Caenorhabditis elegans: one gene and its partners. The protein of the gene in region 4 interacts with the protein of the main gene of each other region in a pairwise test. Each region holds a gene or a part of one and is shown on either strand. Other genes may lie near its edges.

The links.
Region 1: the proteins of apr-1 (region 4) and pry-1 interact in a two-hybrid assay, tested with the Caenorhabditis elegans proteins (2 studies listed by BioGRID).
Region 2: the proteins of apr-1 (region 4) and ced-2 interact in a two-hybrid assay, tested with the Caenorhabditis elegans proteins (one study listed by BioGRID).
Region 3: the proteins of apr-1 (region 4) and hif-1 interact in a two-hybrid assay, tested with the Caenorhabditis elegans proteins (one study listed by BioGRID).

Annotation. Positions count from the first base shown.
Region 1 is NC_003279.8:14,172,960-14,181,568, reverse strand, and holds the start of pry-1 (Axin-like protein pry-1), read left to right. Parts: upstream 1-2,208; 5' UTR 2,209-2,212; coding exon 2,213-2,317; intron 2,318-3,213; coding exon 3,214-3,276; intron 3,277-3,335; coding exon 3,336-3,425; intron 3,426-3,470; coding exon 3,471-3,608; intron 3,609-4,058; exon of another isoform or gene 4,059-4,131; intron 4,132-4,373; coding exon 4,374-4,555; intron 4,556-4,602; coding exon 4,603-4,734; intron 4,735-5,356; coding exon 5,357-5,585; intron 5,586-6,308; coding exon 6,309-6,489; intron 6,490-7,409; coding exon 7,410-7,832; intron 7,833-7,995; coding exon 7,996-8,095; intron 8,096-8,354; coding exon 8,355-8,445; intron 8,446-8,506; coding exon 8,507-8,533; 3' UTR 8,534-8,609. UniProt on the Caenorhabditis elegans protein: Works in parallel with axl-1 in negatively regulating bar-1 signaling in vulval precursor cells and Q neuroblasts. Inhibits Wnt signaling, which affects tissue specific expression of Hox genes, egl-5, lin-39 and mab-5.
Region 2 is NC_003282.8:1,595,557-1,602,653, forward strand, and holds ced-2 (Cell death abnormality protein 2), read left to right. Parts: upstream 1-1,761; 5' UTR 1,762-1,763; coding exon 1,764-2,202; intron 2,203-4,621; coding exon 4,622-4,824; intron 4,825-5,615; coding exon 5,616-5,813; 3' UTR 5,814-6,065; downstream 6,066-7,097. Other genes in the region: npp-8 (Nucleoporin_N domain-containing protein), read right to left, coding at 15-249. UniProt on the Caenorhabditis elegans protein: Required for cell migration and engulfment of cell corpses but not for programmed cell death/apoptosis. Has a role in the migration of the 2 gonadal distal tip cells (DTCs).
Region 3 is NC_003283.11:20,778,547-20,786,204, forward strand, and holds hif-1 (Hypoxia-inducible factor 1), read left to right. Parts: upstream 1-1,860; 5' UTR 1,861-1,955; coding exon 1,956-1,975; intron 1,976-2,768; coding exon 2,769-2,959; intron 2,960-3,085; coding exon 3,086-3,240; intron 3,241-3,285; coding exon 3,286-3,600; intron 3,601-3,925; exon of another isoform or gene 3,926-3,989; coding exon of another isoform or gene 3,990-4,022; intron 4,023-4,117; coding exon 4,118-4,676; intron 4,677-4,779; coding exon of another isoform or gene 4,780-4,982; intron 4,983-5,191; coding exon 5,192-5,519; intron 5,520-5,589; coding exon 5,590-5,846; intron 5,847-5,926; coding exon 5,927-6,099; intron 6,100-6,147; coding exon 6,148-6,315; 3' UTR 6,316-6,714; downstream 6,715-7,658.
Region 4 is NC_003279.8:8,048,241-8,056,470, reverse strand, and holds apr-1 (Adenomatous polyposis coli protein-related protein 1), read right to left. Parts: upstream 6,429-8,230; coding exon 6,246-6,428; intron 6,042-6,245; coding exon 5,887-6,041; intron 5,838-5,886; coding exon 5,111-5,837; intron 4,619-5,110; coding exon 4,031-4,618; intron 3,990-4,030; coding exon 2,436-3,989; intron 1,772-2,435; coding exon 1,490-1,771; intron 1,408-1,489; coding exon 1,330-1,407; 3' UTR 1,003-1,329; downstream 1-1,002. Other genes in the region: K04G2.9 (MARVEL domain-containing protein), read left to right, coding at 1-331, 788-889; K04G2.7 (HTH CENPB-type domain-containing protein), read left to right, coding at 7,140-7,299, 8,223-8,230. UniProt on the Caenorhabditis elegans protein: Has a role in endoderm cell specification and pharyngeal development. Required for the migration of epithelial cells, organization of the anterior seam cells and ceh-13 expression during embryo morphogenesis.

The DNA of each region.
Region 1 (8,609 bases), 6.1 Mb from region 4:
TACTTTCTCAATGGGGCGTACTTGCAGATTGGCGGGAATTCTAATTTTCAACTAAAAAAAACCGAGTTTTTTGCATACTTTCCCATAATTCCCCTATCATTTTCTTCATTTCTAGACCGAAAAAAAAAAGATTTGTGAAGATCTCCGCCAATAAAAAACATCAAAAAGTGCCGCTTCTTCAAGGTTTTTCACAATTTTTGGCGGCGGGGAGAGGAGGCGCAGCAAGTCGGAGTGGACGGCGGGCTGGAGAGAAATATGAATAAATCGACAAGACGCAGGCACGTGTCGGCGAACATCAAAGAGTCGCTGGTTTTGAAGAAGGGGGCGCCTCCATTCTCACACCGACCGCCCGAGAAGAAGAGAGAGGAGGCACTTCACCCCCCAATTCTCTTTTCCTTCTCCTTTTCTCTTTACCCCCCTTGATTTTCCTACCCCCATCTTTTTCCTAAATCCTTCTGTTTTACCCATTTTCCTTTTTAGACCATCTTTGGGACTATAATATTTGCTTTGAAAACTGGAAAATTATATGAAAAATCCAGTTTTTAAATTTATTTTAGGCTCAGTTTAGGCCAAACTATTTTAGGTCTTTTTTAGGCGTAAAAATTTGAAAATTTTTAGACTCGGTTTAGGTCAAACCATTTCATGGCCAAATTTCGGCTTGAAATCTAAAAAAAATTACGGTAAAATCTTATTTTTTGAAATGTTTGAAAACTCAAAATATTCCAAGAAAAAAAAAACTAGTTTTACAACATTTTTCTGGGTTTTCTTAAAATCCTTGTTGGGCTAAGAAATTTTAAACTAAGAAATTTTGCTGAAATCTTAAAAAAATTGTGTTGTTTGAGGTTTACTGGCCAAATTTTAGACTTTTTTTTTAATGGCGATAATTTCAAAAAAATCAAGTTTTTACAGCGTCACATTTTTTAAACATTTTTTAAGCTTAAACTATGAGATAGCAAAAAATTGTCTACTAACAAAATAATTACCGTAAAATTTCCTACATTTTATTAATAGCCAACTTTTCGATTGCTTCAGGCTCCACAGAGTTATAACGGTTTGAACTCAAGAGGCGCTAGGCTCCTTTTAACTTCAAACCTCTATAACTCTACAAATAAAAAAGCTAGCAAAAAATTGTTAACTATCAAAATAATTATCATAAACTTTCCTACATTTTATTTATTGGAAACTTTTTGATACCGTCATTTTCTGCAGAATTACAGGATTTTGAACTTGACCTCTACGCCTCCCTTGGCCCCCAGTTTTAACTTAAACCCCTATAACTCTGCACACAATGGTGCTAGCAAAACATTTGAACTGACAAAATAATTGCTATAAAACGTCCTACAATATGCTAGTTAACAACTTTTTGATGGCATCAGTCTCCGCAGAGTTACAGCTATTTGAACTTGACCTCTAAGCCTCCCTTGGCCCCCAGTTCCAACCTAAAAGCTCCATAACTCCGCAGAGAGCAGAGCTAGCAAAAAGTTGTCAACTAACAAAATAATCTACGTACAATTTTCTACATATATTCAATTTAAATTTTTCTGCTAGACCAACTTACCAGCAAGATCAACGCCCCTAAAGTTAGGGGCCCCTCCCGGTAGCCGGTCGAGCGTCCCCAGTAAACTCTTCCGGGGGCACCCGAAACAATGTTCACTCATCAATCGTTGTCATCTTTCTGGAGACATGTGTCTTATCTGTGTGTGTGTACTACTACTCTTCCCAATACACCCCATTACTCTCCGTCACTATCTCTGCGTCTCTCACCCCCGCCACTCTCTCGCTCTCGCCCATTCATTGAGTAAGCGAGGGGCCTCATTCCTTGATTATCAGCCACTGATAGGAACAATAAGACACCCATAGTTGTTCCATTTTTGCAATTAGAGAGGGAATAGTGACGCTTATAATATATTGTATATCCTATATCTTATCACAGTTTTTTTTTTTTTTTTTTGTGTATAGTTTTGGCCTATTTTATAGGTTTTGAGGGGGTCAAACTGCTAAGTTTAAATAAAATTTGTTTAATTTTCAGTAAAAGCGTCATTAGAAAAGTTTTGAACAAAAAATTGAAAAAAAAAATTTTGGCAAAAAAATTATTTTTTTAAAATTTTTTCAAAAAAAAATTTCCCTCGATTTTTCAAGTTTTTCTCTACTTTTTTTTTTGAATATTCTCTTATTTCAACATAATCATAAAATTCACCTCCTTTTCAGGTGCATGGAGACCCATCTCGGTTGGGCGCGAAGCCTGGAGGCCGTTCTATCCGATCGATCGGCACTCGACGCGTTTCAGGAATGGCTTATTGAGTACTCCTCGCCTCAGGTAACTTTTTTTTTGGGATTTTTCTGCGAAATTTGGATTTAGCTTGCCGAGAGCTTCAAAATAAGTATAATCATGACATTTTTACGATGATTTTGAAAATTTTTAGGTTTTGGCGCAAAATTTTTAGATTTTCTTTTGCTGCGGGACCCAAAGTTCCAATATTTGAAATTTTTACTTGTTTTCGGATGTAGCTTGTCAAGAGCTTCAAGATGAGTATAATTATGCCTAGGTTACTTCAAACTTGAAAGAATCTGGGTCTCACCGCGAAGGTTATTACTGTAGTCCCAAATTTTCGTGGCGAGACCCTAATTTTTCAACCTTTGCGGAACCTGGACATCATTATACTTATCTAAAAGCTGACAGCGAGCTGACTTCGAATTTTATAGTTTTGCAGGCGAAATCATAATTTTGTGAGAATTTTGACCAGTTACAAGGAAAGTCTGCGATTTCACGTTTTTTCGAAAATTTTTTGCGAAAATTTCAACTTTTTTTAATTTTCGAGATAAATTTCTCATAATTTAATCAATCTTTTCATGCGCTTTTGGAAAAGCATAATCATGACCACGTTTCGCAAAACGTTGGGTCCCACCACGCAACCCATGGGGTTCTGTAGTTGTTTGTCGTTGTGGGACCCCATAAAAATTAAATTTATTGAAATTCATACACAGCATCCTGAGAGCTTTGAAATAAGTATAATAGTCTAGGTTCCGTCAAAAAAAAGTTGGGTCTCACCACGAAATCTACTACTGTGGCCCCACATTTTCGTGGCGAGACCCAATTTTTTCAAACTTGACGGAACTCATGCATGATTATACTTATTTCAAAGCTCTCAGCAAGCTAAATTCAAATATTGACTTTAAATTTCCGAATTCTCTAAAAAAATAAGAAATTTTCAGTACCTCGACTTGTTCTTCGCAATCCGAGCATACGAACGAATGGCGTTGGAGGGAAAACCGGAGGTATTGATTTTTTTGCAACTTTTTTGGCAAATCGGGCAATATTTATCTATTTTTTTTAGAAATCCCAACTTTCCAAGTCAATATACTCGAAATTTTTGTCCTCTCGGACCGGAAACTGCGAAGCAATTCCCAAGCATTTTAGGGCTCCGGTAAGCTTTTCTTAAAATTTTTTAAAATCAAAAATTAATTTTTGGATTGGTGAAAAACTACGTCATGGCACCGAATTAGAGGATCGGGTATTCAGTCATTGTTCGAATTTTGTTCAAGAATTTTTAAGACGCCAACACGAGGAGTTTGTGGGCTCCGAAGAGTTTATTGAGGCTTTTAATAAGGTAAATTGTTTTTTTTTTTAATTGTGAAAATTTGAATTTAGCTCACTGAGAGCTTTAAAATAAGTATAATCATGCCTAAGTTCCGTCAAATTTGATAGAAGTTGGGTCTCACCACGAAAACCTACAGTAACCCAGGATTTTCTTGGCGAGACCGAGGTTGTTTGGAAAATTTACAGAATTTGCGAAACCTATGCATTCTTAATGTAATATCGGCGGTCTCAGTTCAGATTTTCAGAATTTTGGCGAAAATTTTAGGGTTTTCCAACAATTGGGTCCTACGACGAAATTTTTCCGGTGCCTAACTTTTTGAATTTTGATTCTTTGCAATTTTTATTTACAAAATTAAACTCAATTGACTGAAAGCTTCAAAATAAGTATAATCATGCTTAGGTTCCGTTAAGTTTGAGAAAAGTTGGGTCTCGCCACGAAATGTATTACTGTAGCCCCAAATTTTCGTGGCGGGACCCAACTTTTGTCAAATTCAACCAAACCTAGGCATGATTATACTTATTTGAAAGCTCTTTCTAAGCTAAATTGAATTTTTATAGTCACAGTGTGAAAAATTTGAAAACCGAGAAGTTGGGTCCCACCACGAAAGGGTTACTGTAGGTTTTCGTGGCGAGACCCAATTCTAATAGAACCCAGACATGATTATACTTATTCGAAAGCTATTTTTAAGCTGAATTTGAATTTTAGCATTTTACGTATCTTATCGCAATTCTGAAAAAAATTTCCAATCCCAAAAACTAAAAACCCCAATTCCAGATGTCATCTACCACCGCCGACCAGCTCCCGGGAGGCTCCGCCCACCATTCATCACACCAAAACACCATGAGAAGGTCGTCAGGCACTACCTCCCGTAAAAGTGCCGCACAAATCGCCACCCAGCTCACAGCTGAGGCCCTCCTAAAATCGAAACACGACAGGCACAGCAAACTTGGAGAAACGTAAGTCGCCTACCTACCCTACCTATTTAAATTTGAATTTTTTTTAGAAAACTTGAGAAAATGTACCCACCGACACGTCAACCATACGTATGCAACGCCACTACCTCACACAACGACTCGGCTGTCAGCTCGACGTTTTCTGGGGACACGCCCGAAGCCCATAGGATGCATAGTAATAGGTAGGTGATTTTGGTTAATGTATTTGAATTAAGCTTGTTGAGAGCTTTTAAATAAGTATAATTATGCCTAGGTTCCGATAAAATTGGGTCCCGGCACGAAAATCTACACTAACCTTTTCGTCGTGAGACCCTACTTGGCAGTTTTCAGATTTTTTACTTTTAAATTGTGATAGCTGAGCTCAACTTACCAAGAGTTTCAAAACAAGCATAAACATGCCCAGGTTCCGTTAAAATTGGGTCCCGCCACGAAAACCCCGAGTTACTGTTGGTAGGTTTTCGTGGCGAGACCCAAATTTTTTCAAACTTAACTGAACCTAGGCATTATTATACTTGTTAGAAAGCTCGTTACAAGCTGAACTTTAATTTCAAATTTTTAGGGTTCAATAAATTATTTCTGAAAAAAATCGCGACGAGACCCAAATTAAGCTTATTTTTTTGAAAATTGTATTTTTTTGAAAACCTTAAATTTTAGTGTTGAGAGCTATTACTACAAAAAAACCAAAAGTTTTCGCGGTAAGACCCTAAAATTTTGAAAATTTTCAGGCCATGGCATGATTATACTTATTTTGAAGCTCTCAGTGAGCTTATATCAAATTTTTATCTAAAAGTGTCTAATTTCCAGACTCCGCCATATCCGAGACGAACAAGCCCGCGAGAATCACGGTACCATGACACTGCCACGTGTCGAAAAAGCCAGCGTCGATGGTCAGCAATGGGATCATTCTTCTGAATCAGGAAGAAGAAATTTTGCAATGGAAATCACCAGAAAACTGCTTAGGCATATTGATAAGGTTAAGCTAAATGATGAGATGGAGAAGAGGATTGACGATATCGAAGAGTGTCGGTATACGGTAGGTTTTTCAGTTTCGAGTTTTAGGCTTTGAATTTGTAAAATTTGAAATCAGCACGCCGAGAGCTTCAAAATATGTATAATCATGACTAGGTTTCGCCAAGTTTGAAAAATTTTGGGTCCCACCACGAAAATGTGGGGTTACAGTAATACCTTTCGTGGTGGGACCCACATTTTTTAAAACTTGACGGAACCTAGGCATGATTATACTTATTTTGAAGCTCTCAACAAGCTGAGTTTGAATTTGTAATTTTTAAAGTGAAATTCAAAGAATTTTAGGGTCCCACCACGAAATCGTACTTCGCGGCAGGACCCAACTTTCTTCAATTTTGCAATTTTGCTTGGAAACTTATAAATTGGAGCTAACTTTGCTCATAGCTTCAAAATAAGTATAAACATGTCTAGGATCCGTTTTATTTAAATATTCCTGGTTTAAGCGTACAGTAACCCTAGATTTTCGTGGCGAGACCCACTATTTTTCAAATTCAACTAAACTTGAGCATGATTATACTTATTTTGAAGCTCTTTACAAGCTGAGCATGTTTTTTTAGTTATCTAGTCACCACTGCAAAATTTGGATTTTTTGGGTCCCACCACGACTACAGTAACCCTGGATTTTCGTGGCGAGACCCATTATTTTTTGAATTCAACTGAAATAGGGCATGTTTATACTTATTTTAAAGCTCTTATCAAGCTGACTTCAATTTTCAAATTAATTTTTCAGACAATCGACATGGTAAACGGCACGGAGCCCAACGACGATCTGGGGAAAATCGATGAGGACGAGGAGTTGGATGATTATCTGAAAATGAAAATGACAGATGATTCCCAAAAAGGATCAACAAATCGATCACCTAAAGGCCCAGCAGGAGAGCCCAACAAATCTGGAGAAGGATCGAAAAATAGTGAGTTCCCATGCTCCGGTACCATATGTCGGGTTATTCTCATGAAGGGATTAATATTACTAATAGGTGTTAGAATTGGAATAGCTGTTAGTAAACATCTTAATGACAAAAATATTTGTCAGGGAACGTTTTTTTTTAGTTCGAATCTATGAAAATTAAAAATAAAAAAATTTTTGAAATTTTTTTTGAGCAAAAACTTTTTTCTCCAAAATTAATAAATTTAATTATTGAAATTATTAAAATCACGTCTGCCTCATTGAGAGCTTCAAAATAAGTACCAACATGCCTAGGTTTTCTTGATTTTGGGTTCCGCCACGAAAATGGGTGTTGTAGCTTTTCGTGGTGAGAACCAACAACTACAAAATGACATTTTTGCTTTAAAACTACAAAATGCAAGCTCAGCTCACCTAGAGCTTCAAAATAGGTATAATCATGGCTAGGTTCGGTGAAATTTGAAAATTGTTGGGTCTCGTCACGAAATGTATTACTGTAGCCCCAAATTTTCGTGCCGAGACCCAAAAATCTTCTAATTTGACGAAACCTAGGCATGTTTATACTCGTTTTAAAGCTCTTGACGAGCTGAAAAAAAAAATTACTAAAACTGTAAAAGTTTTAAATTTTAAATATCTTTCGTGGTAAGACCCAAATTTCTGAAATTTCAAAAAAAAATCCAGTATTTTTATATTTCCAGTCAATTTTCAAACTCAGCTCGTTCAGAGCTTCAAAATAAGTATAATCATGCCTAGGTTTGGTGAAATTTGGAAATTTTTGGGTCTCACCACGAAAGTTATTACTGTAGCCCCAAATTTTCGTGGCGGGACCCAACTTTTTTCAAACTAGACGGAACCTAAGCATGTTTATACGTATTTTGAAGCTCTTCATGAGCTGAATTCAAATTTCCAATTTATAATATTTTCCAGCCACCCTCTCCCCAACCAATCGTGCTCCCGCTCAGCTCCACAACACAATTCGGGTCCCGAGACGAAAAGATTACCCCCGGGACACCTCGGCTTCTCTAAAATCTCATCGTCACCATCAAATCGACACAAATCGAATGATGAGCCAATCAATGTGCGCTCCATCGTACTCCTCAGCCAGCTCCTCCTACAGTAGGGACTCCTTCGCGCCGGCGCCCACTACCAGGGTGAATTTTGCTCCGGGGAGCAGCAAATCGAGTCAATTCTATGATTCTTCGGGAATTGGGTCTATGGCACCGTCGGCGTTCTCCGCCACTTCGTCACTGGATTATAAGGATCGGAGGCAGCACAGAAAGGCTCCAACGCCTAAGAAGCACTCGAAAATTGGGAAAAATTTGTCGAATTTGATAACTATTAGCTATTTAGGTAAGGTTTCATTTTTTTATACAAAAAAAAGTGAAAAAAAAAATTTTACAAATTTTTTTTTGAAAATTTTTTTGAACTTTTTTTTCAGATTTTCTATGTTTCTAGGGTAGATTTTACCCTAAATTTTATATTTTCTAACATTTTAACTCAAATTTTTTTCCAGGAACCGATAAAATCCCTGTGGTAACACATGTCCCTAACGATGGACCAATGACGTTGGCGGAGTTCAAGAGGCACTTTGCTCTGCCAAATGGAGCACATCAGTGAGTTTTTTTTTGGGTTTAAACTGGGAAAATATTGATTTTAGGTTGATTTGGAAGTTTTTGGAAAATTTTGAAAAAAAAAATTTTTGCTCAAAAATATTTTTTTTTGGAAAAACAAATTTCCAAAAATTTTCAAAAATTTTTTTTTTCAAAATTCTCAAAAACGTTATTTCTCAATTAATATGGTATAAATGTTCCCAAAATTGCATAAAACCATAAAAATGTACTATTTTCCTCCCTAAACCCCAGAAATTTCCAGACTATTCTTCAAAACCGAATGTGAGGATGGCTCCGCCCCTTTTCAGCTTTTGCTCATTAAAGATGAGCATCACCTTTTACCAGTCTTTGAGGTAATTATTAATCTTATTATTGGACTGCAAAAAAAATTCCAAAAAAAATTTTTTTTTTCAGGGTCGAATTGCCGCCGAGCTCCGATAGTGGGATTATCGATTTTTGAAAACGATTTTTTTTTTCATTTTTCTGAATTTTAATATCATACACACAACCTACAAAA
Region 2 (7,097 bases), on a different chromosome or scaffold from region 4:
CAATGCTCTCTCACTGCTCATTTGCATTTGAAGCTCTCCGGGTATTGGGATTCGCCGTGTGCTCACAAACTCCGGCGCTCCCTTCACATAAAACTTCTCGCCGAGACCGGAGACGGGCGTCGTGCCGTGTTGTGTGAGGCGATCGAAGAAATCCGATGTCTCCATCATCTGCTCGACGTGGTGTGCCACCTTGTTCGCCGCCGCTTCTGCCGAGTCGGCCGAGCCCAACTCCATAAACGAGACACTCATCTCGGAGGATGGAAAGCTGCTGAAAAAGTCGGAAAATTTTGAGTGATTTTTGATATTTTAACCTTTAAACTTGAAAATTATAGCAAAAAACTGTAAAAAACCCGGAAAACTTCCCGCAAAACGCAACTTTTCGCGCAAAATTCCGAATTCAAATTGCAATGCGGCGCGGAAAAGTGGGCGGGGTCGCGTGTTGCAAGTCCCCCGCACACCTCATCGTGTACTCCTCTCGGACAAGCGCAACAGCTGACAATTTATTTTTGCGTGCAAAAAAAGTCGTTTGTTTGCAATTTCTCACCAGTTTTCGGAGATTTTCTTGATTTTTTGCGGTTGCGCATCGTAAAATACGTATTTAAAATGTGTAAACTTTGGCTCCAGTCGACAAGAAGCTTATGAGTCATTGCCTGGGAAAATTGCTCATCAATTTCCTCATTTTTACGAATAATTGGTGTTTCAATGCGTATAAAAACAAGAAATCGGTAAATTTAGTATGAAATATATTCGAAAATAAAGGTTTTAAGCGTATTTTTCAATTTTCTTCTACTAAAAACCGAACTTTAGCCTAAAAACCTGCTTATTCTGCTCGAAATTCTCGATTTCGCCATGTTTTCCAATTTTTTAACACAGTTTTTCAAAAAAATTCTTCATTTTTCCCATAATTTAGCCGAAAAACTCAACTATTTTGCCCTCTTTTTCCCTAAAACTCGCCATTTCCTACCAAAATTTGAAAATTTTCACTGTGTCCAATCGATTTTTCTTCCTAAAAGTACCATTTTCTCCAATGTTCATTTATTTTTCAGAAATTTTCACTAGAATTACTAGATTTTCTGTGCCAAAACCACGATTTTCAGCAATTTCTTTCTTTAAAATCTTATTTTTTGCCATTTTAAGGTACTTTTCCAACGAAATTCCTGATTTTTTGATTTTTCCACGCAAGTTTTGGCCGATTTTTAACTGATTTTCAGCATTTTTTCAGCCAAAAAAACATCCATTTTTGTTCATTTCCTGAATTTTTTAAATGGAAATTCCTTGATTTTCTTGGAAAATCACGCTAATTATTATTCAATTTCCAACTTTTTCATCCAATTTTCTGCCTATATTGACTCGTTTTCCTTTAAAAAATCGAATTTTCACCCGTTTTTTCACATTTTCAGCAATGTTTAGGTTGAAAATCATATTTTTATTCATTTTAAAATATTTTTTCCCACGAAATTCTTGATTTTTTTTTTGAAGATTTTTGCGTTTTCTTCTCAAAGATGGTGATTTTTGGCCGATTTTCATAAATTTTCGCTCTCAAAAACAAGATTTTAAGCATTTTTCAGCCGAAAAAACTTTCCCCTTTTATATAATTTTTCTTGATTTTTCGTCTTTTTTTTCTGGATTTTTAGGAATTTCTCGTGATTTTTGATGATTTTCCGTCTATTTGGGTTACGTTTTCCAGAAAATTTTCCCAACTTTGACCAATTTTGCGCGCCTAAAAATTCCACGTTTCTAAACAATTTCCCGCATTTTCAGAAATGACGACAAACGGGTTCGATCCATTCGAGTGGCGTTCATTCTACTTCCCAGGAATGAGCCGTGAAGAGGCTCACAAGTTGCTCGGCGAGCCACAAGTATCGATCGGCACCTTCCTAATGCGGGATAGCTCACGCCCCGGTGAATATTCACTGACAGTACGTGAAGCCGACGAGGGAAATGCCGTTTGTCATTATTTGATTGAAAGAGGAGAACCGAAAGAAGATGGAACTGCTGCAGCTGGCGTGAAAATCGCGAATCAGTCGTTTCCAGACATTCCGGCGTTGTTGAATCATTTTAAAATGCGAGTTTTGACTGAGGCAAGCCTGCTGGCCGCCTACAAGAAGCCTATCATTGAGGTTGTCGTCGGAACATTCAAATTCACAGGGGAACGAGAGACAGATCTTCCGTTTGAGCAAGGAGAGCGGCTCGAGATTCTTTGTGAGCTTTAAAGCAGCACTTTTTTGATTAAAGGTGGACTAAACCCTGTGGGGAACTTGCTTTATTGAAATTTAAATTTGCCCATCGAAAACGTCAAAAATTAACTAAAAATCTCAATTTTTCGGCGATTTTAATTGAGAAATGGCTTGAGAAAGTGGTAAAATTTGGCAAAACTTGGTTTTTAATAGTTTTTTTTTTGCATTTGGCTTCAATTTCCCCGAATTTTCAGATTTTTTAATCGAAAAAGTGCTCTTAAAGCTCACAAAGAATCTCGAGCCGCTAAATCAGTGGATTTTTCGGGGATTTCACGAGAAAATTGACATTTCTAGTAGTTTAAATGGCATTTTCCGAACCTTTGTTCTTTCTTCTCTAAGAAGTGCTCGAGATTCCAGAAATTGATTTTTTTTCCAGAAAAAACGTTATAATTGTGAGGAAATCGACATTTTTTCTTGCATTTGGCACTATTTTCTCCGAATTTTTAGATTTTTTAAAGGCGGACCCAGTGGGGAAATTGCTTTAAAACACGCCTATGGGGCCACAATGACAGAATATCATGATTAAAAAATTCAAAAAAATTTCCCTGATTTTATATGATTTTTTGAAAATTGAAAAAAAATCTCAGTTTTCACCTAATTATTTTTGAATTTCCGCCAATTGGATTTTTTCAATGGAGCGCGCTTGCATTATTTTCATTAATTTTCAAAATTTTATTTCTTCTCATTATTGGACTGATTTTCTTCATTTTTTGGAGTTTTTCATCGGAAAATGGAAGAGAAATAAACAAGAAAAATGCAAATTGTTTGTTAAAAATTAACTGAAATTTTCTAAAACTGTGATTTCTTGAGTTCTGACAACGACAAGCCTGAAATTAGTATATTTTACAGTTTTACGCATTTTCAGTTACTTTTAAAAAATCATTTTGCATTTTTCTTGTTGTTTTCTTCGATTTTCCGATGAAAAACCACAAAAAATGAAGAAAATCAGTCCAATAATGAGAAGAAATAGAATTAATTAATGAAAATAATGCAAGCGCGCTCCAACGAACGAGTTCAATTGGCGGAAATTCAAATAGGAATTAGGTGAAAACTGAGATTTTTTCAATTTTCAAAAAATCATTTAAAATCATAAAAAAAAATTTTGAATTTTTTAATCATGATATTCTGTCATTGTGACCCCATAGGCGTGTTTTAAAGCAATTTCCCCACTGAGCGTAGTCCACCTTTAAATAATCTAAAAATACGGAGAAAATAGTGCCAAATGCAAGAAAAAATGTCGATTTCCTCACAATTATAACGTTTTTTTCTGGAAAAAAAATCAATTTCTGGAATCTCGAGCACTTCTTAGAGAAGAAAGACCAAAGGTTCGGAAAATGCCATTTAAACTACGAGAAATGAGTTTTCTCGTGAAATCCCCGAAAATCCACTGATTTAGCGGCTCGAGATTCTTTGTGAGCTTTAAGAGCACTTTTTCGATTAAAAAATCTGAAAATTCGGGGAAATTGAAGCCAAATGCAAAAAAAAAACTATTAAAAACCAAGTTTTGCCAAATTTTACCACTTTCTCAAGCCATTTCTCAATTAAAATCGCCGAAAAATCGAGATTTTTAGTTAATTTTTGACGTTTTCGATGGGCAAATTTAAATTTCCGATTGTTACCATGTTAGTGAGAAAATGAGCAATTTTCAGTAAATTTCCACCCATTTTCTCCTGTTTTTATTGGAAAATGGTAAATTTTGACTGTTTTTCAAGAAAACCAGAAACTTTTGGTAAATTTCCACATTTTTTTAATCCAAAAAGCCGCAAAAATGTTAAAAATTTACGTTTTTCAATGGAAAAATGCGATTTTCTACAAAATTCGCCTAATTTTAACCCGGTTTAGTAGAAAAATGCGAAATTCAGTGCATTATGACTATTTTCCTAATGAAAACAAGAAATTTCAGTCATTTTTACTATTTTCAACTGGAAAATGGAAAGTTTCTGCGAATTTCGACTGTTTTTCACGAAAAAACAACAAAATTCGATCAATTTTGCCATTTTTTCACGAAAAAAACTTTTATTTTATGAAAAAATTCAAAAACCCGGACTCATCGTTGTGAGACCCTGTCCACCCACCCCACTGCGCCTTTAAACTTGTGTCGATTTACGCGGTGTTTTTTTTTGGAGAAACTCTATTTTCGGACGAATTTAAACTGTTTTTAAGGCAATTTTTCACTTAAAACCGCAAAATTATCTGAAAAATAAAATTATAAACGAATTTTATAATGGAAATACGAAATTTTACCTGTAAAAACCATAAAATTTGAAAAAAAAACCGTGTTTTTTGATTTTCTCCCGTTTTTCTCAAGATTTTGTGCATTTTCCAAGTTTTTTTCGGTAATTTTCCTCGAAAATACTAGATTTTTAATAATTTTTTTTTTCCAGCAAAAACGAACCAGGATTGGTGGGAGGCGAGAAACGCGTTGGGAACCACTGGATTAGTGCCGGCAAACTATGTACAAATTCAGATGGAATTTCACAATGACAGAACCTCAAAAGGCGCCAGTCAATCGTCGATCGGAAGCAGCGGAGGTGGCGCCGAACGATTTTCGAGCGCCAGCACGAGCAGTGATAATATTGAGCTCCAGGTGTGGAAAATTGCCGGAAAAATCCACAAATTTCAGATTTTTTGCTGAAAAATTGCGTTTTTTAGTCAATTTTTGACATTTTTCGATGGGAAAATTTCGAATTTCGAGACGATTTTCCTTGTAAATTACAGAATTTTAATGGGAAAGTTGGATCTGAAATTTCTCTTTAAAAATTTGCTCAATTTTTACCGTTTTTAGTGAAAATTCGGTCATATTTTGAAATTTTCACTGAAAAAAAAATGGAAATTTCAGTCAATTTTTAACATTTCTAGTGGAAAAATCGAAAATTTCCTAATATTTCGACCATATTCCAAGAATAAACGAAGCATTTCAGGCAACTTTGACATTTTTTCACGGAAAACACCAATTTTTAGATTTTTCTATTGGAAAATGCGAAATTTCAGTCAATTTCCATCTTTCTAATGAATATTCAATGATTTTTTATTAATTCTAGTTGGAAAATGTCAAATTTCAGTGAATTTCGGCTGTTTTTGTCAAAAAAAAACGAATAATTTCGATCAATTTTGACCTTTTTACTTAAAAAAACTTTTTTTTTTTCTCAAAAAATTTAAAAATCCGGCTCATCGCTGCGAGACCCTTCCACCAACCCTACTGCGCCTTTAAACTTGTGTCGATTTACGCGGTGTTTTTTTTCGGAGAAACTCTATTTTCAGGCCGTTTTCAAGTTATTTTCCACCTAAAATCTGCAAAATTAACTGAAAAATGAAATTATTAACGATTTTTATCATGAAAAACATCTCCTAAACCGAAAAAAAAATTCAATATTTCAGCCCCGTCTGCCAGCAAAAGCCAAAGTGACGTTCGATCGTGTCCCAAACGCCTACGATCCGACCCAATTGCGTGTGAAAAAGGGGCAAACAGTGCTTGTAACTCAGAAAATGTCCAACGGAATGTACAAAGCGGAACTCGACGGCCAAATTGGCTCGGTGCCTCATACATACCTCAGATTCACCGCCGTCAGCGAATAAAATCGTTTTTTTTTTCTAAATTTTTAACCTTGAAATTTATTGATTCGCTTGCCCCTCCACCAGTTTTCCTCTAATACATTACAGCTTTACCATAGAAAAAAATCGTTTTTTTTTCCAAATTATATTTATAATGATATCATGCACAATTTTCGTTGCCTTTTCCGCCCACCGAACCCCAATTCGTGTCCATTCCATTTTGTTCACTTTTCCCTTTCAACCTGCCGGATGATTAATAAACCGTTTTAATTATGATTTTTTCGAATTTTTGTTGGAAAATGAGGTGCTATAGAGCCTCTGAGAGTACTTTTTAAGAAAAAAATGTCATAATTTTGGAGTTTTTTTCAAAGTTTTGAAAATTTACTTGAAGATTTCCAGCAAATTGCAAAAAAATCCGATTTTTCGACGTATTTTGGTGAATTTTCGGCCTTTTTTTTTCGAATTTTCTCTGAAATTGCAATAAATTCTGGTTTTTCAGGCTAAAAAACGGTCAATTTTTTCTATTTTCAACTGGAAAATGGAAAGTTTCTCTGAACTTCGACTGTTTTTCACGAAAAAACAACAAATTTTGATCAAATTTGCCATTTTTTCACGAAAAAAACTTTTATTTTATGAAAAATTCAAATACCCCGGGCCATCGTTGCGAGACCCTTTCACTCTCCATACTGCGCCTTTAAACTTGTGTCGATTTACGCGGTGTTTTTTTTTTGGAGAAACTCTGTTTTCTGTCGAATTTAAACCTTTTTCAAGCTATTTTTCACTTAAAAACGGGAAAATTAACTGAAAAATTAAATTATAAACGATTTTTAACGGTTTAGTGCAGTTTTTTAAAATAAAATTTCAGAAAATTTAGATTTTAAAGCCACATTATCGAATTTTGCCGATTTTTTCTCAGATTTCTATTGAAAACCCGCCGTTTCCTCTTAAAGCTGAAAGATTTTCCCCAAATTTGAACCATTTTCTCGCAGATTTCGCCTAGAAATTCGAATTTTTGGGGCAAAAAATATAATTTTCCGAATTTCGTCTGAGATCCCGCCTAGAAATGTGAAAAATTTGATTTTTTTTTTTGGATTTCAGTAGAAAAATGTTAAAAACTGGATTTTCTCCCGAATTTCGATAATTTTGTTACAGATTCCGCCTAAAAATGTGATAAATTCCGAATTTTTTCACTAAAATTCTTAATTTTTTAGAAATTCAGATAATTTATAGTTTTTTTTTCAGAGTTTTGAACAATTTTCTTCAAGATTTCCATTCAATTGCAAGAAAAAAATCCGATTTTGTATGAAA
Region 3 (7,658 bases), on a different chromosome or scaffold from region 4:
GTTTATGTACTTACTGGGTCAAGAGAGTGTGTTAGATGAGAGGTCTTTTTTTTGGTTTTTCTTCACCTCTCTCAATTTTCAGAGAAAACTCTACTTCTCTAATTCATTTTTTGATCAACGAAGAAATGTTTGGATGCCCATCTTTGGTTTGTAGGCACCGCCCACTAGCTGCTCAGTTTTTCTCTAATGAGAGATTTCAGATTTTCAGAAAATCTATTAATTCTTATAGTTCAAAGGTAACGCTAATAGGTTTGATTTCATTGATCTGTATTTTAAATTTTTATTTAACTCCAATGTCAAAACATAGCTCCTGAACCACATATCGGAAAAAGTTGATCCTTTCCATTATAAAGATATGGACTAAACTCAATTTTCGCTAAATTTAATCAATTATCAGTCACTCTACTTCTCTGTACTCTAGCTTTCCCCCAATTTTTTGTCTAACATTCTGTCAATCGACAGTCTCTGAGAAGTCGTTTTGCCCACTGTCGTTCAATTTCTTGTCTTATCAACATCTTTCTTCTTACATTTTGTCGTCGCCTCCCGCTTGTTGATGATGACTATCTGTTTCCCTCGTTTCATATGACTATTGATTTTATTTAATGTTCCAATAACTTTCGACAATTCTTTATTATATTTTGAGGATTTATATTAATTGTGCACTCTCTTGATGTATCGATATTTTCAATTTCTCGATTAAGCTAAAAAGTGTGATATGAGATGTAAGGACTAGCTTTATTAGACTCAAAACTGTCTGAAAACACCAAATTTCTTAATGAAACTTTTTGAAAACTTCTCAAAAAAATTATGGTGGCTCAAAAAGGACCTAAAATCAGTTAAATTTTAAAATTTGAGCAACTCTCAGCGGCTGAAAACTTATTTTTTTGTCATATTTTGGGCCGCCATAGTTTTTTTGTGTCCTTTTCAAAAATTTAATTAGAAAATTCGGTGTTTTCAGACAATTTTGAGTGTAATAGAGTAATTAAAAATTCGACTACACCGCCTTTAAGTCCAAAGATTGATTGAATCCCGATCTTAACTATTTTATTTGAAATTCACTTGATAATAAGGATAAACTAAAATCACTACACAAACTACCCTTTCTGAACTTGAGTATAGTTATCTTCAAAAACATTATTGTTTACGCTCGGTGAAAACACTACATTCTAGTGATTCCCCTGTTCTTTGACTTACTTCAACTACAATTTTTTCAAAGATTGATCGTAGTTCATTCATAGTTTGATGTTAGTCACCCCCTCAATCTTGCCCCATTCATACCATTGACGTAACATCAATATCCAGATTTATATTTTTGAATCGGGAAAATTTTGCTTTTAATCTTTTTGTGTGCCCTTTTCTCCTTCACTGGCTTATCACATGATTCTTGTAATCAGTTTGTATTCACTCAATATAAAGAAATTGACAATTTTTCTTGAATTGAATTCAGCGAAATTTCCAGTCTACCTAAGTTCTTGTTTTTAGATTTGGGTTTTAAATTGAGCATTTGATCTCTATGATTTGTTTTCTGCAACATTCTTATGATACTTGCCTAACAAATAGTCAATTGTCCATGAAATTGTTACAAATCTTGACGTCCTCTGGGACCCCGTCCAAACAACTGTCACTAACATATCCAATCGATCGTTTTGTGCACCCTTGGTATTTATGATGTTTCAATTTGTCTCACTACACTCTACCCTAGTGCTATAAATCATAACTAAACTTGATTTTTTATTCAAAAGTGTTAACATTCGAAAATCTAACAACCCCTTATGTTCTCAATGATAATTTTAAGAACATTTGATACAATTTTTCTAATTCCCTCTACCCGATTCTATTCAATTTAAAATTGTCATACATTTTCAGCCCACCTGAAAGTTGCCCGTCATTACGGGGAAGTTGCCCCAATCACACCAACCTCAGCTTCACTGAAGCTGCACCTATTCACTATCAAGATGGAAGACAATCGGAAAAGGTAGAGTTAGAATTCTGTTAGAATCGAAATTCATTCTTAAACATTCCATGATTGGATGCCTGAAAACGCTAGAAGTACCGTAGTCCTTTGGGTTTGCTCCATGCTCTGCTCGCAAATGAGAGAGAGGGAGCATTGGCAGAGGTAGATGTATTGAAAATGCGCATTTCCGAATCGAATATCAAATGTGAATCATCTATATAAAATATATCTCGCTCTTTTTAGACACAACTCATTTTTAATCGGAGATGTTAGATAAAGTAAATTATGAAAATAAATTGTGAAATAATTGTGATTGAAGGTGGAGTAGCGCCAGTGGCAGTTTTGCCTAAAAAATACACTTACAATGGCTCGAAACAACCAAAAATCATAATAAAACACTTAAAAATTTTTTAGATTTTTCATAATTTCCGGTCAAAGTTTTGGCAAATGGCCAAAATTTTTACAAACATAAGTATTTGAGGAATGCCGCATGTTCCGATCCCTACTATGCTTCCAAAATTATGAGTGGCAAAAATTGAGTGATTATCATCTAACGGACGGTAAATAAACAATTTCAAAAAATTTTTGACAATTTTTAATTTGATATTCGGTCATTTTAGTACCATTGGATTAGTTTTCAACACTTTCTCCACTGGCTCCTCCTACTCCACCTTTGAAAAAATAAATTTTCCCAGTTATACTTAAAACTAAATTAAATCGAAAAACCTCATGAGAAGTGTACTTATATAGGTATATAATTTTTTGAAATTCACCAATTTTGGGGTGACAAGAAATTCAAAATCAAACTTTTTAGAAACATGGAACGCCGTCGTGAAACATCGAGACACGCGGCTCGTGATCGTCGGTCTAAAGAATCGGATATATTTGATGATCTGAAAATGTGTGTGCCTATTGTTGAAGAAGGTACCGTAACTCATCTAGACCGTATTGCACTTCTTCGTGTTGCCGCCACAATTTGTCGACTGCGCAAGACAGCCGGTAATGGTAAGTGACATCGAATAAAGAAATAGTTGATTCAACATCAAAAATCACTTGAAAATCGTGTTTTATGCTGAGAAAATCGACCAAAAATCACTGCCAATTTTTCTCAAATTAATATTTTTCTTTCAGTATTGGAAAACAATTTGGACAATGAAATCACAAATGAGGTATGGACTGAAGACACCATCGCCGAATGCTTGGACGGCTTTGTTATGATTGTTGACAGTGATTCTTCAATTCTTTACGTCACTGAAAGTGTTGCAATGTATTTAGGATTAACACAGGTGAGCAATAGAAAACTTGCTTCTTTAACATCGATATATTTTCAGACAGATTTAACAGGTCGAGCCCTTCGAGACTTTCTTCATCCATCCGACTATGACGAGTTTGACAAGCAATCAAAAATGCTGCACAAGCCACGTGGCGAGGACACAGACACCACCGGCATCAACATGGTGCTTCGAATGAAGACAGTCATCAGCCCACGTGGAAGATGTCTGAATTTGAAGAGTGCTTTGTACAAATCAGTGTCTTTCCTGGTTCATTCAAAAGTTTCAACTGGTGGACACGTGTCATTCATGCAAGGTATCACAATTCCTGCTGGACAGGGTACAACTAATGCAAATGCATCTGCAATGACAAAGGTGAATATCTGCTTTGAATGTTTCATAGTAAGATTCTAAAGTTTGAACTTTTGATCTTGGGAATTTCTGCTCCTCCTTTCCGCTTCTTGATAAACTGATGGAATTGTGAGACAAAATGTTGAGTAGACGTTACACAATTTCATTTTCTTCTTATTCTTCTGCTCGCTCGAAAAGTTTGTTCTTTTGATCTTTAAAATAGAGAATAGTGCTTTGAGCAAAGCACACTCAGCCGTTGGCACCTCGCGCATAGAAAACAGGATTAGAAAATTGGAGAGAAGTAGAGAAGCACAAGCACATGCAACTTGGCGTCATCTTCTCCTTTTTTGAAGCAGAAGAGAAAACGGAGAAGATGTTACATCTTGTATTGCTGCTCCGTTTGCAAAAGTAAAATGAGCAGGGACTCTGAATACCTAGATAGAAAAGTGAGTCCTAAAGGGCGTGTATATTCGAAAACTTTTTCAAATCAGATTTATAGATGCTATAAGTTTAATAAAAATATAGATGGATTAATTTACAGTACACGGAAAGCCCAATGGGTGCATTCACAACTCGTCACACTTGCGACATGCGCATCACTTTCGTTTCGGATAAGTTCAATTACATCTTGAAAAGTGAGCTGAAGACTCTCATGGGCACCAGTTTCTACGAATTGGTACATCCAGCCGATATGATGATAGTATCAAAATCCATGAAGGAACTTTTTGCCAAAGGACACATCCGTACCCCGTATTACCGGTTGATTGCTGCAAATGACACACTTGCCTGGATTCAAACAGAAGCTACTACAATCACACATACGACGAAAGGACAAAAAGGACAATATGTCATTTGTGTTCATTACGTTCTCGGAATCCAAGGAGCTGAAGAGTCATTGGTAGTTTGCACTGATTCAATGCCAGCTGGAATGCAAGTAGATATCAAGAAGGAAGTGGATGATACAAGAGACTATATTGGAAGACAACCTGAAATTGTGGAATGCGTCGATTTTACTCCATTGATCGAGCCAGAAGATCCATTTGATACGGTTATTGAGCCAGTCGTTGGTGGAGAAGAACCTGTTAAGCAGGCTGATATGGGTAAGTACATGTTTAAGAACGTATTAAAAGTTTGTAATTATACAGTTTGATTCACCTAAGTTTTTTTTATCCAAATTGAATAATTTACGAGGTACGTATATAGGAATTTATTCGGTGACGGATGAGTATGAGCAACGTGTTTATGGGCAAATTTCTGCCGGCAATGATATAGAAGACTGCGATATGGATTCTGATACAGAATCCATAGAAGATTCCGGTTTAGCACCGGAATTCGATGTGGATCTGGCTCCGATTTATAATGAGAAAATGGAAGTTGACGGAGAGGATGAGGACGGCGGAGAGGAGGTACTTTGGGAAATGGGATTATGATTACTAAGTTAAAAAAACAACAGATCGCAGTTTTCCCCTCCGTTGTCCTCATACCTCCGTGAGTTTCTCTTTTTCTTATTTTCAAACTTGTCAAACTTGTCCATGCATGTCGTATTATTTTTTACCCTACGCCTACTCAAAGTTCCATACATTTAGCAAGTGATTTCTTAACGTGTGTATTTCAGGAGCACGTAAGAACAGCTACGATGACGTTTTGCAATGGCTTTTTCGCGACCAGCCAAGCTCTCCGCCGCCGGCACGCTACCGGTCAGCGGACCGCTTCAGGACAACCGAACCGTCGAATTTCGGTTCCGCTCTGGCCTCGCCGGACTTCATGGATTCGTCATCTCGTACCTCCCGACCGAAGACATCATACGGACGAAGAGCACAAAGTCAGGGAAGTCGAACAACTGGATCGTCTTCCACGTCAGCATCGGCCACATTGCCACACAGTGCCAACTACTCGCCACTTGCAGAGGGCATCTCACAATGTGGACTTAACAGTCCCCCGAGGTTAGTTTTTTATACATTTTTCACAATTAGCACGTTGAGCATGTACATGTTTATAATATCCTTGTATCAGTTGCAGTATCAAATCTGGACAAGTCGTGTACGGAGACGCTCGATCTATGGGACGTAGCTGCGATCCGTCCGATTCGTCACGACGCTTTTCCGCCCTTTCACCATCAGATACTCTCAATGTGTCGTCCACTAGAGGCATCAACCCAGTCATCGGAAGCAATGATGTGTTCTCCACTATGCCTTTTGCCGATTCTATCGCCATTGCCGAAAGGATCGATTCGTCGCCAACATTAACCTCTGGCGAACCAATACTTTGTGGTTAGTTTTTTTTAAATGTTCAAATCAATCTCATTCGTGAAAGAAATCAGATAACTTTCAACAAAATGTTTAACTTTCAGACGATCTTCAATGGGAAGAGCCTGATTTATCGTGCTTGGCACCATTCGTTGACACTTATGATATGATGCAAATGGACGAGGGGTTACCACCAGAGCTTCAAGCTCTTTACGACTTGCCTGACTTTACACCTGCGGTACCTCAAGCCCCAGCTGCTCGGCCTGTGCACATTGACGTAAGCCTGTTTTGTTTTTGGCTCCTAACATTATGTTAATTTTTGCAGAGAAGCCCACCAGCGAAGCGAATGCACCAATCAGGTCCCTCAGATTTAGATTTTATGTACACTCAACATTATCAACCATTCCAACAAGACGAGACATATTGGCAAGGACAGCAACAGCAAAATGAACAACAGCCTAGTTCTTATTCCCCATTTCCAATGCTCTCTTGATTATTTTCTACCCCCTCTCAAACTGTTCATTGTTTTGTTTTCAAAAATATACTCTTCATTCATTCAAGTCACACTTCTTATTACTTAATTCTATTGCTCTTTTTAAGAATAATGAGTTTCAAGAATCCTCCCCGATAAATTTTCCCCCATTCCTTTTTCCCTTTCCCTCTGATTTCTTTATTTAGTAAAAAAAAGAAGAATCGTAGTACAAAACGTGTCTATCTGTGTGTCCGTTTGTCCGTTTTTCCCATCTCCATAGTGATAGTTAATTGCATCATTTATACAACGAATCTTCTTATGTTAAGTTTTCTTTTCATTTTTTCACAATGCTCTCGTCTCATTCATTTTCAAAATTCTGTCCGTCTTCGTTTTCTTCTCGATAAAACCTTTTTGGTTTGATCATCTTTTTAAAACTTTACAAAAAGCACTATTACAGAGTTTAGCATTCATTTTTGTGGAAAATATCTGAAATTTTGAGGTATGAGCTTGTAAAGTGAAAACGCGTCTAAATCTATTCGTCTTGATTTACAAATTACTTCAAACGTACGATCTTCCTATTAGACTTTCACTTCTTAGTAGTACTGCACCTCGAACACCTTCTAAAATTTAGACTGTTTATTTTGAAATGTTTTTTTGCAAAATTACAACAAGGCTAGGATTATTGCATTTTTGTTCCAATTAACCACAATTTTGCAAAATGTCTTTCAGAAACAGTTGTTCTTGTAAATGAAAACATGGAATCCTAAACAAAAAAGGCGTATGAAAATTAGTATTGCACAACCTAGTTGTAATGCATTCGCTTTGAAAAATAGTATTGCATTCATATTAATAGATAATGAATACATATACGCATCAGACCTCCGGTTTTTTTTGTGGAAAAAGCGAAAAATGAAAAATTTTCTTACTTTTTTCTGTTTTCCAATTATTCGGTTTTTCGATTTTTCGGTTTTGCACAAGAAAAACTAAAAAATGGTCATGCAATAGTCAATGTTGAAAACTGTCAGTTTCAATAATTTCCGACAATCGGGGGTTTTATGCAATTTTATAAGTTTCAATATGCTAAGTTTCACTAATCAAACCGATTCTTTTTGCAAAAGTGGTTTGAAATTCCATATCAAAGATCAAGATCTAGAATTATCAAAACTACTGTTTCGGAACTAAAACAACTGCCTAGTTCAATTTGCCATTCCAAATCAGGGGTACACGGCAATTTTTTCTGTTGTGTCCGTTAGAATTGTAGTAATTAGTCGAACCCACAATTTATTGATGAGGTTAAATCGGTAATAAATATATAACAAACAAATGAGTTCAGTTCTATTCACACGTGTTGATGCCCTCTTGAT
Region 4 (8,230 bases):
TCTAATCACTTCAGTCTTCGGTCCAGGACCATTCAAAGGAATTTTATTCGGACAAACGATTCTTCTGACTGTTGCCAGCGTGGCAATGCTTCTCACATTCATCTTCCTTATTGCATATTTCTTTACTCTTCATCTCTCTCATCTTGATTTCTTCTGTTGGCGTGAAGCTGATCTTTTGTTCAATGTGATATGTGCTGTTCTTTTTATTGTACTGTCAATTGTTGAAGCATATTATTCAACTGGAAGTTGGTCAAACAATTGCAATGATATTGGATCCGATGGAATTATTCACAACGGATGTCGGATTATCTACGAATGGGCTTTTGCATCTGTGAGTTTGAAGTTTGAATAGGTGGTACGCCCATATAATGGCTTACTTGCATTTAGAATTTTGTTTTTGATAATTTCATCTATAAGACAGTAATCACGCCATGGGTAGTTATAACTGGGTGTGCTCCTTTAAAGAGTACTGTATTTCAAACTTCATCGATTTTTATAGTTTTTTTTGATAAACGAATATGTCTTTAACGAAAAGCTATAAAAATCGATATAAATTTTGAAATTACAATAGCACACCTTTTGTATTTCACAAAAAATTCGTCGTGTCGAGACCAGATACCGTACTTTTGGCGCAAAAATCGCAAAATTCACGTCTGGGTAACAATTTATTCTTAACTCGAAAATCAAAAAAGTTACAAAGAGATAAACTATCCACCACTAGCTCCTTTTCTTCTGGATTTTTCCTCAACAAAAAACTCTCAAAAAACCTATGAACCTAATTTTTCAGTTCCTAACATTCATCCTGGGAATTTTCTACGCACTGACTGCCTTCCTCACTCATAAGAATCGTCATTCACTTCGTAACATATCCAGAGAAGAACTATATTGAAGATAATGGTTTCTTTGAAAGTTTGCATAATATAACTGATTCTCTCGTGTTTTTTTTTCTCCCATTCCTGCCGATTTCTAATAAAACAAATACTTCTTCACACTAATAAATATATACAATATTTATGATTCAAAAAAGATGAGAAAACAATGGAGCAGAGTGAGGTTGAAAGAACTCGTATTACAAATTGAATGAAACATATTAACAGCTATGTATTGAGCGGTCAGGTAATGGAAACAAGAACAAGAACCAAATCACATTTTACAGAAAATTGGAAAACATAGTATATTGCCAGCGCTAGAAATATGATTACAGGGTCCATTAGACAATAATATAAAAGTTCGAGGTAGAATAAGAAGATGAGAACACTCGACTAGAAACTGGGAACGACTAGAGATGACGGGGATACAAAGAACAAGGTTCGGTATATGAGCGGATCATTAGACTATTGTTACAAGCATTTGTTTAGGATTCGGTGTCACACTCTTCTCGTTGCTCATTTCACCATTATTTCGACCCTGAAAATGTTTATTTTAAAGAATATTTCTTCATGTTTGAATTGATACTGTACTTTTTAAAAAAAAGTAATTATTTTCTTACAGTGAAAGGCGGTTTCTGATAATTGTAGGGCGTTACAATTGCAGATTTAGCTATAGGTGATCCGTTTCCAATTGACGGTGATTGCTCAATGTTCTTCTGTTGCTTCAATGCATTCATATAAATTCGTTCTTGTTCTGCCTCAACAACTGGAGCATTCACATATATCGTATCATCTCTCGTCTGATTCTCAATCGAATCCTCTTCTGGATAGTGCTTATCTTTTAAAAGTGTCGGCTTCGGTGGCAATCGTGGCCGCCGGGAAGCGATGATTGGCTTGGGATTCTGCAAAAAAGCGAGGTTTGAAAATCTAATTTGAAACGTTTAGAATTCAGTTGGTCTTTGATTTTATCAAAGTTAATTTAAAAAAATTGGGAGCAGGGCTCGGCATTTTTTGATTTTTTTTTGCTAAAAAAAAATTAATAAAAAACTCACTTTCTATTTTTCCATATTTTACAAATATTCTTTAACAAAATGTGGGTTTATTTATGGTTTTTAGTGTTTTTTTTTTCAAAAGTTAAATATCTCTGATATATTTTTTAAAGTTTGTTTTTCTACTGTACTCATTTACGTTAATAAAACAAAAAAAAATTAACTTGGATCAGAAGCTGTCTAAACTTGGGCAAGAAGCTAGAGCCAAATGCCGAGTTTTTACCAGTTTTCATTTTTTGTTGGTTCAAGTTTGGATTTTTTTCTAAAATCGAACATTTTCGTTTTTTTTTTCCCGATATATTGAAAAACAATTTCGGGTTTTCGAAAAAATCTCAAATATTGGTCATATTACTATTTTTAGGCAAAAGTTATGTTTTTTTTAAATATTTTTTTTCATCAATATACAATTGAATTTTGTGATTAATTTTTTGAATTTTCTCTCGTTTTTTTCGATTTTCAATTTTCATGAGACATTGTTTAATTCTATAAAATCAGAGTTTTTTAATAGAATAAATACCTTATCAACAAGTGATCCATTCGTTTTTGGAACAGGCAGTCTTGACTTTCCATTCGTTGATACTCGGGTGGCTTGTCGAACTCCTGGGAGTGAAGATGCAGATCCTTTTGGTGTGGAAGTAGCTAAAGCTTTTGAATCTCGTGACGTTGTCGTAGTTTCATTTCTTTGCGATGAACCGCTTCCACTAGAAATCATTGAACAATCGATAGTTAGTTGTGCATCAACTCCATCATCAAACTGAGTCGCATCAGGATCCTCCTCATCTTCATAATCTTCGAAATGATCATAAGTATAGTCGTAATCATCATCATCGACACAATCCATTGGAAGAGATGCATCGATCTCATCGTCAAATCTCATAGTGTTTGCAGCAGCACCAGAAGTTGATGAATTTGGTTCTTCAGCAGTTAATCCAAAACTATCTTCACTACTAGCTTGGCTTTCCAATGACTCCATTCGATGTAATTGTTGTTGTGGAGACCAGTCTGAGCCTCTTGCCACATCAATGCCGTTATGATCGCTGGGCTCATGCGATGCGGTGAATGCGTCGCGGCGATCGGCTTCCTCGTTTTTTGAATGACTTCTTCTCTCTGGCTCGGGTTCAAGATATTGTTGTGTACCAGCAAGTCGTGGAGATATAATTCGACTTTTTGGCATCTCTGACATTATTGATTCCATTAAAAGACGATCTGCATCAGAAGCATCTTGACGACGATTAGGTTGAGTTCGATGAGAAGATGACTTTGGAATCGGTGAGGTATCTGGATGAGACCATGCAGGAGACGATGTTGTTTTCTGAGTTGGAGAGAAGAATCCATTAAGGCGAGGCGAGACTTTCATCTTCGGAGTAGACGACGAAGTAGGCATTTCAGATTGAATAGAACGAGTCAAAAGCTCGTCATCTGTCTTTTGTGCGGCACCTCCTATTATAGCATAATCACCTTCTTCCTCCTCAAGAGATGGACCTGGGAGAACATCATCAGGACTATCCAACTCTTCTGAAGTCTTTCGTGGAACTGTCCCGTTCGGTGTCTGTTCGTGTACCAATATTGGATTCAAAATAGCATAAGTTGGTGTAATAATGTTATCCATTGGCACAGTAGTTGCACCATCACTCCGAGTCATAGTGTTAGCTGATCCACTGCTATAATGTGTAGTGTTCTGCTGTTGAGACGTCAATTGATGATGTTCCGATTCAGTGGATTTAGGTAAATTGAACACCTGAGCACACATTGTTGGAGAAGCTGGAATATCATTGTATGATACAGGAGAAAGAGCACGAGAACTGTTGGCTGCAGTATCCAGAGAAGAATTCCAGTTTGTCATAACACTTCCAGGATTCATCGAGCCGAGACTTCTTTCACTGTTACTTCGTGTTCCCATTACGGTAGATGTGGGAATATCTAGATCGTCATCCGTAGGAGGAACTGGATCAGCTTCCTGAGCTTTTTGCATTTGTTGCTGTTGTTGAATTTGATGAAATTGTTGTTGTTGCTGCTGAAGGTACATGATTTGTTGATGATGTTCCATTTGCGCTTGATCCTCCGTCTGAAACTAAGAGAAAATTACAGAAAAAAACGCTGGAAAATCGTTACCATAATTTGTTGTTGTTGCTGCAATTGATAGATCATTTGTTGTTGCTGATGTTGATCCATTTGTTGATTGTAGGACTGTGCCATCACAAATCCATTTCGTTGAACGGCAAAATGTCTTGGCAGACTACTAGATCTTTGATCAACTTGTGGAGTCTGTATCAACTGTTGTTGAGCCTGTGGTTGTATATATTTTCCAGGTGATGCTCGAGTTGCTCTCAGTGATAGTAATCTTGGTGACGCAGTTCCATGATAAGCATGATGAGATGTTTGCATCTGAAGTTGTGGCTCCGAAAGCATTTGCATCCCTGTGGCTCCTCCTCCAACAGAATGTGACATATCACCATAACGATGACTACACGGTTGATTAAGAGTATTCAGCACAGACTTCACTGCTGTCCGAATATCATCACGATTCGAGTTTCGGAGTACGTTGAGTTGCTGTACTGCAGCCATATCCTGCCGAATCATTTGCTGCATGTGGGGATCTTTGACAATTAGGTTTGCAATAGCTCCTAGAGTATTTGTAACACAAGTGAACGAGGCACTCTTGAGCAAAGTGAGCATTCGAGTGATGAGCAAGCTTCTTAGCTGAAATTTTATTGGATTAATTGAAATAATGATATTTGTTCAGTTTGATCAATTTTATGTGCAAAAGGGAAGTGTTTGTGGGTTCTTTTGCCTAAAAACTTCAACTGACACAAAACCATCGAATTTCGTAATTTCTCAAAAAAAAAACCTACTTACTTCTCAAAAAATTTACAAAAAGGTGAAAAAAAGGGTAAAATTTTTCCAAAATTTTCTTTTAAAATCCCTGTTGAAGAAATCACTTTTTGTGGCATATTTTTCTGACTTTTATCTCTCGTTAATTTATTTAGGCACATTTTAAGTCGATATTCAGAAATGTCCAAAATTGGAAACAAGCGCAAGTTGACGAAAGATTTAGCAAGATTTGGATTTTTTTTTGCAAAATTTTGACTCGCCATGAAATTTTTTTCGATTTTTTTCTTTCTATTTATGAAAAAAAAAGATAACTTTGAAACCTCACTTGCATTTTTCAACAAAAACAAATCAAAAACTAACCTCTAAATGCGTGGAAGTATTCGCGAGATATTGTGATACATACTTCAGAATTCCAGTAGCTGAATCAACAAGTGACGTGAATCTTGCATCAGGAGATAGAAGGCTGGCTAATACTTTTAAACAATTCGGAGTATCACAAATAGTTCGTTTATTCTCTACTGAGTGACCAGCAAGATTCCACAAAGCAGATAATGTTGCTGTAACATCGAATCTATGTGTATGTGCATGTACTGCAGCAATTGAAAGTGCATGAACTGTTGGTTGAAGAGCTTCACTCATTCCTGAATCGGCGTTCCATGAGAGATTTCTGATTAGTCCAGCGTATACTTGAGTTATATTTGGAGATTCGATCACAATTCGAACAACGCATCGAATGAATCCATCATATGAGCATAGCCGGCGTTTAGAGTGAATTTGACCGTATGTTAAATTCGTAAGAGCATTGGCAATAAGTTTTCGAATATTTCGATGCTCTCCAGGATTGGTCTCATTGATTCCAAATGTGTGAACTTCAAGAATTAAAACTTCTGCAAGCGCTTCAACAAGTCCTAATACTGTAGCAACTTTTCGATATTCTTCTCCAAATGATTCCTTAACGATTGTGTGAAGAGCTGCATTTAGTCGATGATAATAAGAAGCTGGTGGTGTTGATGGTTTCCTTCGAAGATAATATACTTGTTCTCTAACACAGTTTGACGCAGGAAGAGCTTTTTTCAGCCGTCTTTTTCTAAAATTAAACGATTTTTTGAAAAATATTCTGAAAATTTCGGATTTACCTGTTAACATCAGATTCACTCGTTATCAATGCAAAAATCTTTTCGTGAAGTTCTCGAAGTTTATTATCATCTTCATCGGTCGGAACAATATCACGTTTGTGTTCGAAATGTAGAGATGAAAGAAGAACTGTTATAGCATCGTCAACCTCGATCGCCTGTAATTAAACTTTTAAATATTGTATTTTCAGAAAAAATAGTTAAAAAGCTTAAAAAATACTTTTATATTCTAATTTTTTACGCTCCGATTTTTTTTACTTAGAAGACCATTGTACAGGTACAAAAATTGCTCAAATTCCTCAAAAAGTCAAAACTTGGCCTTTTACCAACATCGAAAATCTGTTTTTTCCAACAATCCTTACCGTATCTTCGCGAAATCTTGCATAATGCTCTTCTTCATCATCTACATCACTAACATCATGTCGCACATTCGATGTTCTTTTTGATGATCCTGCTCGAGGTTGTGAGTAGATTCCACTTCCACCGGTATTTGATCCTGTTCTGTGTATCGTTGTTTCATTTTCATCACTACTACTAGAGCTCATCTGAAATTTAATTTTATTATTTTGAATGATCTTTGATATATTTGAAGAGAATATATAAGAAATAGAAAAGGTACATCAATGTATTCCAATAAATAATAATTGTTAAAAATCACTCTTTTAACAAATTAATATTTGAAAACAAAAAATTGTTAAGCTTTCAAAACAAACTCAAAACCTAAATTTTTCTTGTTATATTGTTGGTTTTCTGAATGATTTCAATTTTTTGGACCGAAAATATTTCTTGTTCCAGCTTGAATAGCACTTTTAATTAAACTCCTTCGTGGTTTTATTCCCATTTTGATTCGAAAGAACAGGTGTTTACAATGCGAGAGGTGACCGTTTTTGCTGCTATTCTTCAATTTTCAAGGCCGTAAAAACAACATGGAAAACTATGCTGTCCATGGTTCAAAAGTACTCGAAGGCCAGCCACGAACCCCTCGGTTGAAAAAAAAAGAAGAAACAGAGATGAAGTCAATCGGTTTGACCTTCAGAAAACCGAAGAAACGCAATGTAAATATGCAGTGTCGAGTGTATAACTATACAGGGAGGGCGCCACACAGTACACTACGTGTTCCGCAGTTCCAAAACCGGCGCACGAAAGGTAAAAATGGTTTGCAACCAACAAGATGAATCGGAAGGAGGCGTTTGAACGGGGGTAAAACTAAGAAGAAAAAAGACAAGAGAATAGTTCATTTTGTGTATTTGCGTTGAATGGCAACTACTACATCTACTTCGAGTCCTTCAACATCTTCTACATCTAGCTCGTCGAACTGTCGTATTGAAGAAGGCGAGTTAGAGCAGAAACTATTTAATGTCTATAATGAAGAGGTGAAGATGTGCGATAGCAATGGACAGAGTACTCAACATATAGGTGAGATTTTATATATATATATATATATGATACAATTTAGAAGGTGGGAATGGAAAAACTGGGAGACGGATGTAATGGTTGATTTAGGCTGAATAGGTACGAATAGAATGTTTCTCTGTTTATTTTAACAATTTGGGTGATGTACGTTCGCTAAATGTTTTCCAAAAATTCAGTCGACCCGACTAGGTTCTGAACATTCAGACTTTTTCTATTCATTATTATACATTCACTTAAAATTATTTTTGAAAAATCATGAAATTTGGGTTCGGTCACAATAAAAATTCCGGAGATCTTGGCGAGACCCACCGATAAAATAATCGTCTACCTTTAAAATGGAGTTAGATCTTGCCACGAAATTATGATATTCAAATTCAAATTTCGCGCCGAAAAAATAGCAGAAAAGGATACAGAGATATTAGGCAGATAGAGAAAGTGTGTGTAATCCCACCTACTGTTTTTCCTCTCAACAAGCCAATTTGGTTGTTGCTGTTGAGAAAGGGGCAGATTGCGCGACGATTGCGTAGTCCCTTTCTCTAGTCAAGGGTATTTGTGTTGGGTAGCAAACACGCCACCACTTTTTTGTGGTCCCATCAGGAATCTTATGTCCCAACACAATAGGGTTACCGGAATGAATAGAACTGTAACTAACGAGGTGTGAAAATTTGAGTGATGAGATACGACAGTTTTCATTCATAAAATGACTTTCCAATGATTTTGGAGTATACTTTTTGAACTGAACAGGCCTTTTATATTATGTGAACATATACCCTGCACAATATGGGTAATTATAATGTTCATATATGGCTTCCAAATTAGACCGTAGTATATCGAAGCACAGATAGAATACCTAAAGTTGATAAAAGGATCAACTAATATATTTGAATCAAATTTGAAAACTTAAATAGAAAAAAAAGTGTTTTAAGGAGACGAA